Canis lupus familiaris: one gene and its partners. The protein of the gene in region 2 binds, or shares a complex with, the protein of the main gene of each other region. Links are inferred from orthologs where the notes say so. Each region holds a gene or a part of one and is shown on either strand. Other genes may lie near its edges. The genes, in order: ANP32E, RUVBL1 and UXT.

The links.
Region 1: RUVBL1 (region 2) and ANP32E share a complex: the UniProt entries of both Homo sapiens proteins name them as parts of the SWR1-like complex. The link is inferred for Canis lupus familiaris from reciprocal best matches to the Homo sapiens genes RUVBL1 and ANP32E.
Region 3: RUVBL1 (region 2) and UXT share a complex: the UniProt entries of both Homo sapiens proteins name them as parts of the PAQosome complex. The link is inferred for Canis lupus familiaris from reciprocal best matches to the Homo sapiens genes RUVBL1 and UXT.

The regions. Positions count from the first base shown.
Region 1 is NC_049238.1:60,124,690-60,128,340, reverse strand, and holds part of ANP32E (acidic leucine-rich nuclear phosphoprotein 32 family member E), read left to right. Parts: intron 1-195; coding exon 196-371; coding exon of another isoform or gene 372-401; exon of another isoform or gene 402-416; intron 417-3,651. UniProt on the Homo sapiens protein: Histone chaperone that specifically mediates the genome-wide removal of histone H2A.Z/H2AZ1 from the nucleosome: removes H2A.Z/H2AZ1 from its normal sites of deposition, especially from enhancer and insulator regions.
Region 2 is NC_049241.1:2,142,722-2,146,372, reverse strand, and holds part of RUVBL1 (ruvB-like 1), read left to right. Parts: intron 1-2,206; coding exon 2,207-2,296; intron 2,297-3,085; coding exon 3,086-3,235; intron 3,236-3,651. UniProt on the Homo sapiens protein: Possesses single-stranded DNA-stimulated ATPase and ATP-dependent DNA helicase (3' to 5') activity; hexamerization is thought to be critical for ATP hydrolysis and adjacent subunits in the ring-like structure contribute to the ATPase activity.
Region 3 is NC_049260.1:41,480,336-41,484,086, reverse strand, and holds the start of UXT (protein UXT), read left to right. Parts: upstream 1-1,314; 5' UTR 1,315-1,474; intron 1,475-1,651; 5' UTR 1,652-1,660; coding exon 1,661-1,758; intron 1,759-2,740; coding exon 2,741-2,837; intron 2,838-2,962; coding exon 2,963-3,030; intron 3,031-3,307; coding exon 3,308-3,415; intron 3,416-3,751. UniProt on the Homo sapiens protein: Involved in gene transcription regulation. Acts in concert with the corepressor URI1 to regulate androgen receptor AR-mediated transcription. Together with URI1, associates with chromatin to the NKX3-1 promoter region.

The DNA of each region.
Region 1 (3,651 bases), on a different chromosome or scaffold from region 2:
ACACTTAACCATCTGAGCCACCCAGGCACCCCCTGTAAAAGGAAAATCTTAAAAAAAGAAAATATCCCTGAGATAGTTTCCACCTTCCCATTGGCTTTAGAGTTTGAAGTGATTGGGGCAAGGGCAGATAGGCTTAAAGTACTAGCAAGAAACATTTGCTCAGCCACTCACTCATCTTTTAAAATATTTTTAAAGATGGAGATGAAGATGATGAAGAGGAAGAAGATGAAGCTGGTCCACCTGAAGAATATGAAGAAGAAGAGGAGGAAGAAGAGGAGGATGAGGATGAGGATGAGGATGAAGCGGGCTCGGAATTGGGAGAGGGAGAAGAGGAAGTGGGCCTATCATATTTAATGAAAGAAGAAATCCAGGTGAATAGGCATTTCTTTATTACTAAATAAAGTAATTATTTAGGCATAAAGCCAAGGTCTATAAATAGTTCAGTTGTGAAGAAATCTGAAAATTGTTACTAACTTGCAGGTCTGAGCGTGTCTATCTGTCATTTTTCCTACTGTCCCCTGGCTCAAACTGTATCTAGGGCAGCCTGGGTGGCTCAGCGGTTTAGCGCTGCCTTCAGCCCAGGGTGTGATCCTGGAGACCTGGGATCGAGTCCCACGTCGGGTTCCCTGCATGGAGCCTACTTCTCCCTCTGCCTGTGTCTCTGCCTCTCTCTGTGTGTCTCTCATGAATAAATAAATAAAATATTAAAAAAAAACAAAACTGTATACAGATCATCATAAGCACCTATGGTTTTACCACCTAGGTATCTTGAAAATCCATTCTGCCCAGAGCAGCAGGGTTCATGGAAACATTTTACAAAAGTTTCTGAGCTTCAGCTTCTGCATTTATAGAACTGAAAATAATATCAACCTCTTAGGCTCTTTTCAGGGTTTAACAAGAGAATATAGGTAAATTATCTAGTCCCTGGCACATCGTAGGCCCTCAGCAACACTTTCCCTCTAATTATTTTTTGTTTATGGTTTTGTTGTAGTTTTCCAAATGGCCTCTTAAATACAGTGTCACCACTTAGGTGTATCCTTCACAGTCTGTGCTTGCTTGCTTAGTCTGAATGCAAATGTGATCATATCACTGCCCTGCTTGAAACAATTTAATGTTTCCCTGTTGCCACCAAAATATATACAAGACCCATCACTATCTAGTCCCTGTTTGCCTCTCTAGCCTCTTCTCCCTCAATTTTATTTTATTTATTTTATTTTATTTTATTTTATTTTATTTTATTTTATTTTATTTATTTTATTTTATTTTATTATTTTATTTTATTTTATTTTATTTTATTTTATTTTATTTTATTTTATTTTATTTTATTTTATTTTATTTATTTTATTCTATTTTATTTTATTTTTAAAAATTTTTATTTATTTATGATAGCCACACAGAGAGAGAGAGAGGCAGAGACACAGGCAGAGGGAGAAGCAGGCTCCATGCACCGGGAGCCCGATGTGGGATTCGATCCCGGGTCTCCAGGATCGCGCCCTGGGCCAAAGGCAGGCGCTAAACCGCTGCGCCACCCAGGGATCCCCCTCAATTTTAAATTAAATCCTCACACTAAGCTGTTTCTTGCCTTTCTGTCTGAAGATACATTGTTTACTCTTAATCTGAAATGACTTGCTACTCATGCTCTCTGATGAATGCTTTTTTTTTTAACTGAGGTAAACATAAATATAGTTAAAGCCTGTAAAGTGCACGGATTTTATGTACAAGTTCACATTTTACTTATGTGTATACTTGTATGACTACCACCCAAATCATGACTCAGTTCTGGAGTTGCCTCATTATTGAAACTTTATCTATAATTTTTTATACTCCTTCCTTCATTACCTTTTTTTTTTTTTTTTTAAGATTTTATTTATGAGAAAAACAGAGAGAGAGAGAGAGAGGCAGAGATATAGGCAGAGGGAGAAGCAGGTTCTCCGCAAGGAGCCCAGTGTGGGACTCGATCCCGGATTCCAGGATCAGGACCTGAGCCGAAGGCAGATGCTCAACTGCTGAGCCATCCAGGCATCCCCCTTCGTTACCTTTGAATCTTGGTTAGTCTTCTCTTGCTCATAGATACTTTTGTAAAAACTTGTTTACTTGGCTACTTTCTACTAGATGGCGAGTTCCATAAAGGGAGGGTCATCTGTCTTTATATCTCAGTGTCTAGTACATTAACAGGGACATAGTAAGCTCACAGGAAGTGTCAGTTGACTTGAATAAATGATCTTTTGCCCCTGGGAATTACTATTTCCTCCTAATGTTTTTAAATTACTGAGTTTGTTTGCATAATTCAGAGTTTTTTATTAAAAATATCTCTTACTTAGGGCAGCCCCGGTGGCACAGTGGTTTGGCGCTGCCTGCAGCCCGGGGTGTGATCCTGGAGAACTGGGATCGAGTCCCGCGTCGGGTTCCCTGCATGGAGCCTGCTTCTCCCTCTGCCTGTGTCTCTGCCTTTCTCTCTCTGTGTCTCTATGAATAAATAAATAAAGCCGAAAAAAATATATCTCTAATTTAGACTAGAAATTATTAGTATTCTTATTTGTTCTCCTAAGGACTTTTACATTGGTTAGATAATATCCCTGATCAGTGATAATTTTTCTCTGATACCATTTTATTTTATTTTTTAATTTTTTTTAAGATTTTATTTATTCATTCATGGGAGACACACACACACAGAGAGAGAGAGAGAGAGAGAGGCAGAGACACAGGCAGAGGGAGAAGCAGGCTCCAAACAGGGAGCCTGACGTGGGATTCCATCCCAGGTCTCCAGGATCATACCCCAGGTCGAAGGCGGCTCTAAACCACTGGGCCACTGGGGCTCCCTGTTTTTAATATTTTTAATTAGTTGTGTTGTAACCTTATGTTTAGAAGGTGAGAGTCAGTAGAAGCTTCCGAGACTATCAAGATTCAAGAAAGAAAGTAGAAGGAGATAGAAATGGGATTTGATTAGCTATTTTTGGTTTGAGTATTCTTTTTATTTCAGTTACTCTTCAGAGGTAAGGAATTAATATGTAAAAAGATGGACTTTATGTTTGTGTAGTACACTTCATTAAAAATGGGGGTGGAGGCTTTAGAAGAATTGGAAATAGTGGTGCTCCTGTACTATACATAGTATAGTGAGGAAACATGGATTTCCCATTAGTTAGGAAGAGACCATAGTTTCTACTGAATAAGCCTTTGGTGAAAGCAGAGTTTTTATTGAGGGATATTATCTAAAATGATATTAAAAACTAAAGGCTTAGATGATGGCTATACTTGGCAGTGAGCATAGCTTTAGGTAAAGACTTGTTGAGTCACCCTGTTGTACACCTGAAACTAAGGTGACATCGTGTGTCAACTATATTTCAATTTAAAAAAAGGCTTAAAAATGTGAATCAGTTAATGTAACCATATATATATATATTTAAAGATTTTATTCATTTATTCATGAGAGACACAGAGAGAGTGAGAGAAGCAGAGACATAGGCAGAGGGAGGAGCAGGCTCCATGGAGGGAGCTTGATATGGGACTCGATCCCAGGACTCTGGGATCACACCCTGCGTCAAAGGCAGACGCTCAACCAATAAGCCACCCAAGTGTCCCCATATTTTGTTTAAAAATCTGGAGAAGCAATTAGCTATTGAGAATGAGAGACACACAGAGAAAGGCAGAGAT
Region 2 (3,651 bases):
AATACTTAAATATTTCATTTGTTATCATTTATAGCTTTCTACATGTATGTGTGCCATTTGTGTAGTTTCCCTCATGTAACAGATAAAGGAACTGAGGTTTCATCAGGAGCTTATCCTGGGATCACACAGCTGGTTAAGTGGCAGACAGGATTCTCTTGAGTCCCAGCCATTATGCTGTTCACCCTCCCACTTGCTGTGTGATCTTTGGGAGTCAGTTGAGCTCTCTGGGCCACCGTTTCCCCATCTGTGAACTGTGGTAGATTGACTATATAATTTCTCCATCTTTGCTCTCCTCCATGATTTTATGGTTCTTTGATCCTGTAAAGTGGTTTCTTGGTCACTGCTTTATGGAGATCATAAAAATGTCACTTCTTCAGAGGGTCATTTTTCTTTTTCCTACCAGGGTTTCCATCTCAGGAGCTTGCCTCTGCAAATACCTCTTTTAAACCTCCCCCTCATTTTTCCCATTCTGTATTAATTAGATTTCTTGGTAGGATCTGCCACCTTTCCAGTAATTACATCTTCAGACAGTTCATTTGGGAAATTAACCAATACTAAAATGCTTGAGGCAAAAAAAAAAAAAGAATACTCCTCAGTGTAAGTTAGCTGAAGTAAGGCATGCAGTTTACATTTACATTTCAGCTCTCCATCAGGCTTCTTTGCACAGTTTCTTCAAGAAAATAACATAAGGGAGAAGATGAATTTTTTTCCTTCCCAAATGAGTACTTCTAGCTACTTTGAGTGTGTGTGTATGTATATATATATATACATACATACATACACACACACACACACACACACAAACACAAGATATTTGGACAAATGGAGCTAAGATACTTGGTGTAGATACTGATTTATGAAGAGAATATCATACTTGCCATCATTATCAGGTGCCTTCCTTGTTCTAGGCCCTGCGTCAGGGGCTTACCAAACACTGTTCCTTGTGCTGCTCTGGGAGGCTGCCAGACCCTACCCTGCCAGTGACACAGAACTCTGGGTTTATTCCTGTGGTTACTGTCTCCAACAGCTTTATTGAAATTTAATTTTAAATAAAATTCACCCATTTTAGGAAGGAATTTTAATCTGTTTACGGAATGGTATGGCTAGCACCACTGTCCAATTCTAGAACATTTTTCATCACCCCAAAAGAAACCTCATGCCCATTGACAGTAGTGCCCATTCCAACCCACACCCTCTGGCAACCACTAATCCACTTTCTGTTTCTATATATTTGTCTTTTCGGAACATTTCATGTAAATGGAGTCATACAGCATGTGGTTTTGTGTGTCTGGCTTCTTTCACGGAGTTCTTAGTTTTTACTCTTTAATTTTGTTTGAGACAAAGCCCGTTTTTTTCACATTATAAAATATAAAGTTAACTAAGGGAAATAGCTCTCCATGAAGTTTTATGGAGAGAAACTTATGTTTAAATCTTGACTCCTGACCAAAGATGGCTGTCCTTGAATACTGAACATCAAGGGTAGCTGAATTTAGACAGGGGAAAAGAAACGGTCCCCAAAACATGCTCCTCTCCTTTCCTGAAGGTATAAGCAGGCAGGCCCCAGAGAGCAGACACGGATTTGAATCAAAAGGCCTGGTTTGTGTTTCCCTCTGGATATTTACACCTGGGTGCTGTTGTACAGATGAGGAAACAGAGGCTCAGAGAGCCTTGTCCAAAATCATAGGACCACCAAGTTCCAACCACGAAGAGCAAGCAGGTTCCATTGGGTGCCTCACATGCAGGAAGTTCTACCCCTACCTGAGGAGGAGTGGAGGAGAAGAATTGAAGCAGAGAGCAATCTCAAAAGGGGTTATTAGGGCCTGTGGTCTCACAGACAGCGTGGGCCTCACCTAAAAGCAGTCAGAGCCATATTTGCCAGTTTGCGACCTCAGGAGTAAAAGGAAAGAGGATAGTAGGTCTCCCCTCACACTCACCCTGGGTGCACTCACTCTCCTGCTGTCTCTAGGACACATCCCCAAAGCTATTCATCTCCTGCATCCACACACACACATCCACAGACACACACACATACCTATACACCCACTCCTGCTCCACTCACTCCCACACAAATACACTTTCTCCATACAGTCATTAGCTACCTCAAGTCTCTTGTGGAAAGGTACTTTACAGTATGTCGGAAATAAATATTATATGTATTTTACAGTTCTCTGGGTCAAATGTTTTTGGGTTTGTTTTTTCTTTTAAGCTGGACCCCAGCATTTTTGAAAGTTTGCAGAAAGAGCGAGTAGAAGCTGGAGATGTGATCTACATTGAAGCCAACAGTGGGGCTGTGAAGGTAACACCATGCCTGGTTTGCATGAGGAGGCCTAAGTGACAAGGGGAGGGTGCTTTCTTCAGGGAGTATGGGATGCGAGGAGAGGCTGGTGTCTGGTGCAATGCTGAGGGAAGGTCAGCAGTTGCCCCTTTATGTTGAATAAAGTTTGCTTTCCCTTTATCTTCATTCTTTAACCTTCTCATGATTAAAACAGACAGTCTGTTCGAAAAATACTAAAGCTTGTTTAGAGGGGGAGTACTGCGTGAGAAAGCAGAACAACTGTAGTCATTTTCAAATTGAAGTGTGCAGTGCGTTTAATCTTCCTTTTATCTCTTTGGTATTTTCTTCCCAAGATATATGCATGTGGAAGGAATGCTGCATTAGTTGGCATTCTTTTTATATCTGATTTTCAGTGTCCTGTACAGTGTTCCTCACTGTTTAATGGATGAGCATAATACTTCATATCATACGATAAATCACCTACCTACAAAAGAGTCTGAACGGCTCCCTCCGTCTCCAGTTAATCTACTGGATTTGCCCTTTATCAGGAATTGCATACAGTTAAAAGAAAGAGGGGGGAAGAGATTCTTGGAGAAAGTATCAGGTGTTTTTCAACTGGGTTTTTGGAGCCCAGTGATGAGCAGATAGCTTCCTTCTCTTGGCAGCGGGGGTGTGGGGTGTGTTTGGAGTTTGTCAAGGAGGCTGTCAGGCCCGCAGTTGGGAACTGAGGCTTTTATCTCACTTAGCACTGTGCCATTTGGAGACTTGGCAGCGAACACTCACCCGGCACTCAGGTTTCTCTTTCTGCAGAGGCAGGGCAGGTGTGATACCTACGCCACAGAATTCGACCTTGAAGCTGAAGAATATGTCCCCTTGCCAAAGGGCGATGTGCATAAGAAGAAAGAAATCATCCAGGATGTGACCTTGCATGATTTGGACGTGGCCAACGCACGGCCCCAGGTACTGCCTCGATGCCGGCATGACCTGGCACACGAGCGCTTTTGTGTGTTCACAGAAGCTTTGGGAATGAATTGTCAGAGTCTTGCTGCCGTTTCTTAGGGCAGACGGTCCTTTTCTATCTGTAATGTTCAGCAATTAACATCGACATGAGCTACTGAGGGACTCCTTTGTTCCAATTCAAATGCTCTAGTCACAGATGATTTCATGTGTATTGTTTCTTATCCCAGCCAAGCCTCTGGCCGTGAGTTAGCCAGCTTCTTCTGTGGCTTCCCTCCAAGCAGCGGGCTCAAGCCTGGGATTCTCTGGGTGTTAATGGTGTAGGGCAGGAGTGTTCTTTGAGCCCTTTGCAGGATTTCAGAAAGCCCGACAAAGCTGTGCCTTTCCCCCTGTTCTAGCAAACTCTTTAGTGTTTTAGC
Region 3 (3,751 bases), on a different chromosome or scaffold from region 2:
CTCTCTCAGATAAATAAATAGAACCTTTTCTTTAAAAAGTAAAAAATGCTTTATGAAATGTAAGTTAGTAGATTTGCACAGACCTATCTTCAGTTCTTCAGAACTCTGTGTTGTTTTGTGTTAAAGATAATAAACATGGGGGGATCCCTGGGTAGCTCAGCGGTTTGGCGCCTGCCTTCAGCCCAGGGCATGATCCCAGAGTCTCAGGATTGAGTCCCACATCGGGCTTCCTGCATGGAGCCTGCTTTTTCCTGTGTCTCTGCCTTTCTGTCTCTCATGAATAAATAAACAAAATCTTTAAAATATATAAATAAAGATAATAAACATAACACCTCTTTTTTTCCCCATAGGAAAATGGTATAGATTAACTCAATAATAGTTGTCTAACTACCTGGTGTCTATTTCAATCACACGAAATGTAACTTTAACTATATGTAATATTTGAAGATTTACAAAAAAACATTTTAAAAAATTACATGTCCTTTCCAATCATCTTGTTCTTAGGGCAAAGAAAAGCTTGACTTGCTTAGGTTTTGAGCATTTGAAAGAAAAACTTGCCTTTACACACAAAACACACAAAGTATCTGAGAAGACATCACTGGCATGAGTGGGGGCTCTCGGCCCTATAGGCAGGCATAGCATTTGAGGGATTTGGTATCTGTGTTCTCCTTCAGGCTCAGCCAAGACTTGCTGGGTATGATGCTATTATTTGAAAATGTAACATGGGAAATAAATTCATTAACTTGAGTGCATACAAATAAATAAAAGTTTATACATTTAAATAAAGACTCAGGAACATTTCTAACTACAGAATAGCCGATCTTGAGCAGAGGACTTCAGCGACCCGCCACCTGATGCCTCTATTAGACGAGGTAATAGACATAGTGTTTTGTCAATATCTGCTTGGATCCTAGTTATGGATGGCAGGTTGCAAACTGGAGTTACCAAAGCTGAGTTTCAGAGAATCTGTCTCCGTTTAAAAAAAAAAATTTAATGCTCACATTCATTCCCATTACTGGGAATCAAACCCAAATCTCCCGTGCGAAAAATCAAAATCCATGGCGACAGTTCCCGGGATGTACTCTCCTTTTTACAAACCAGAACCATAACCAATTCTTGCCCGTCTGCTTCCGAAGCTCTGACTTTTAAATACTACACGCTTCTCTCTCGCCACCTGTGCGCCCCGCCTCCCCCAGGAACCCGCCAAATCCCATTAAGGCCCGCCCCCGCGAGCCACGCTCAGTCCCCACAGGCTCCGCGCTGCCCCGTTCCCACGCTGCGCGGCCGGGAGTACACTCGGTGGATTCCCTAAAGCCCCGCCCTCCTCTCCTCCGCTTCGCCCCTTTCCAGCCCTTCAGAACCGCCTTTCCCACCCGGCTATTCGGTTGGCCCGCGCCCTTGTGGTACGTCATTCACCCGCGCCACCCGGAAGCCACGGTTTATAGCAACCGTTCTTATTGCCGGCGGCTCTAAGGTGAGGGCCGCGTTTGGGTGTCCCTGGGTGGCAGAGTCCCAGAGTTGGGAGGGGCAGAAGGCGGAACCCCGGCCGGAGCCGAACGAGCCCACTCCCGCTGTCGAGGGGGTGCAGATGTACTGTGCCTGAGGCCAAACTGTGTGGTCAACGTGGTGTGCTCCGCTCCCCATTCCTTAGGAGCCCATCATGGCGACGCCCCCTAAACGGCGGGCGGTGGAAGCCACGGGGGAGAAAGTGCTGCGCTATGAGGCCTTCATCTGTGACGTGCTACAGCAGGACCTGCGGTGAGTGGCAGCGTGGAGGGCCGGGCGTGTGGAAGGTTCCACGTGGGGGGGCGGGGCGTCCAAAGTCAGGGTCTAGCCTTCTGATTGGTGGGAAAGGCATTTGGAGTCCAGCCCCGTGCGCCGATCCGGCGAGGAGGGGCGACATCCGGGGTGCTACTGGGCTGGGATGTGGCGGTTCTTGTAGAGGGTGTGTCCGCGCCTGTCTGGCCTCCCATCTCACTTAGCCGTGGAGCTAGATTCTAAAGCGGGAGTTCTTAGGTTCGAATCCTTGGCCTGGCCCCTTCGCCATCTGTGTGAAGACGTTGTACGCTGCCTCGACTTTGTGTGCCTCAGTTTTCTTATCTGTGAAATGGGAAAGTTCATGGAACCTTCCTCATGGGGTGGTTTTGAGTTTTTAATGTGTTCCCCCCTTGTAAAGGATTTAATGTGAATACTAGGGGCTCTATGAGTATGAAAAATTGTTACTATCACTATTAATCTGAGCAGGAAGTAGAGTGTTCAGAAGCAGGATAATGAACATCCTGAAAGGGATGGAAGATTTTTCTAGGGTGAGAATGGGACACTTTTTTTTTTTTTTTTGAGAATGGGACATCCTGATTGGACGGAATGTGGTAATAGTACTAATAAATAAGAGCTAAAACATATATAGAGCTTAGTTTTTGGTTAGGTGCTATTGTAAGTGCTTTGTAGTAAACAGTTCTCTTAATGACTTTGTGAGGTAATACTTGTCGTCCCTTTTTTAAAGATAGGGAAATTGACTCCTAAAGAGAAAATGAGTCCTAAAGAATTTGCTGAAGTCACACAACTAGTAAAAAGGAGAGCCTAGATTCAAACCCAAGCAGTCTGACTCACAATTCAAATCAACTTCTGCACTAAAATGCTTCTTTAAGGCATGGTGACATGAGGGTCTCAGTCATAATATGAGGTATTCTGACAGGTCCAGGGCTTCCTGTTGGTCACCATTTTCCTCTTGTCCCATCAGAAAAGTGCTGGACCATCGCGACAAGGTATATGAGCAGCTGGCCAAATACCTTCAACTGAGAAATGTCATTGAGCGGCTTCAGGTAAAAACAGCCAAGGTTAGGGACCATTTTGATGTGTTTGGGCAAGGGAGGGGGATGGGAGGAGAGACCCCAGACCAAAACCTGTCAGCTGACCTGAAAGGTGACCACTGACCCCTACCTCTTTTTCCCTGGCCCCACAGGAAGCTAACCCCTCGGAGTTATATATGCAGGTGGATTTGGGCTGTAACTTCTTCGTTGACACAGTTGTGTGAGTGTCTACCTGCCCCTCTGAGCCCACAGGGCTCAGCTTCCCCCTTCCTTCATGCAACAAATATTTTTTTTTGAGTATTTGCTATGTACCAGACACTGTGCTAGGTGCCGGGGATGTGACAGTGAATCGAATAGGACAAAACCCCTGCCCTCTCAGAGCTTCTAATTTGGGGAAGGTGGGAGGAGTGGAGTAAAAAAAAATTGCCAATAAACTGTATAGTATGCTAAACAGTAATAAAGACTTCCCCCACTTCCTCTAACCATTGTTTCCTCAGCCCAGACACTTCACGAATCTATGTGGCGCTCGGATATGGTTTTTTCCTGGAGTTGACACTGGCAGAAGCTCTCAAGTTCATTGATCGTAAGAGCAATCTCCTCACAGAGTAAGTCCATTCTATGAAGTGTCTAAAATACCACCATTTGCAACATCCTTTTCCCTTTCCCCATGGCTCTCTGAGATGATAGATACTTAAGGGCCCATTTCTCCTCCTCCCCAGGGCTAGGGCTGAGGAAAGTAGAGATGCAAAGCTCAGCCCCAAGAATAGCACATAGGAAGCACTCCATAAATGGTCTTGATATTGCTCACTCACACACACATTTGTTGGCTGTTCTATGCCAGGTTCTGTACTTGGCAGTGGGGAGGCCACAGTGAACAAGACAGAAGGGTTCCTTGAAGGCCTAATCTTGACCAGATCCAGAAGGTTTTGGCCTATAAATCA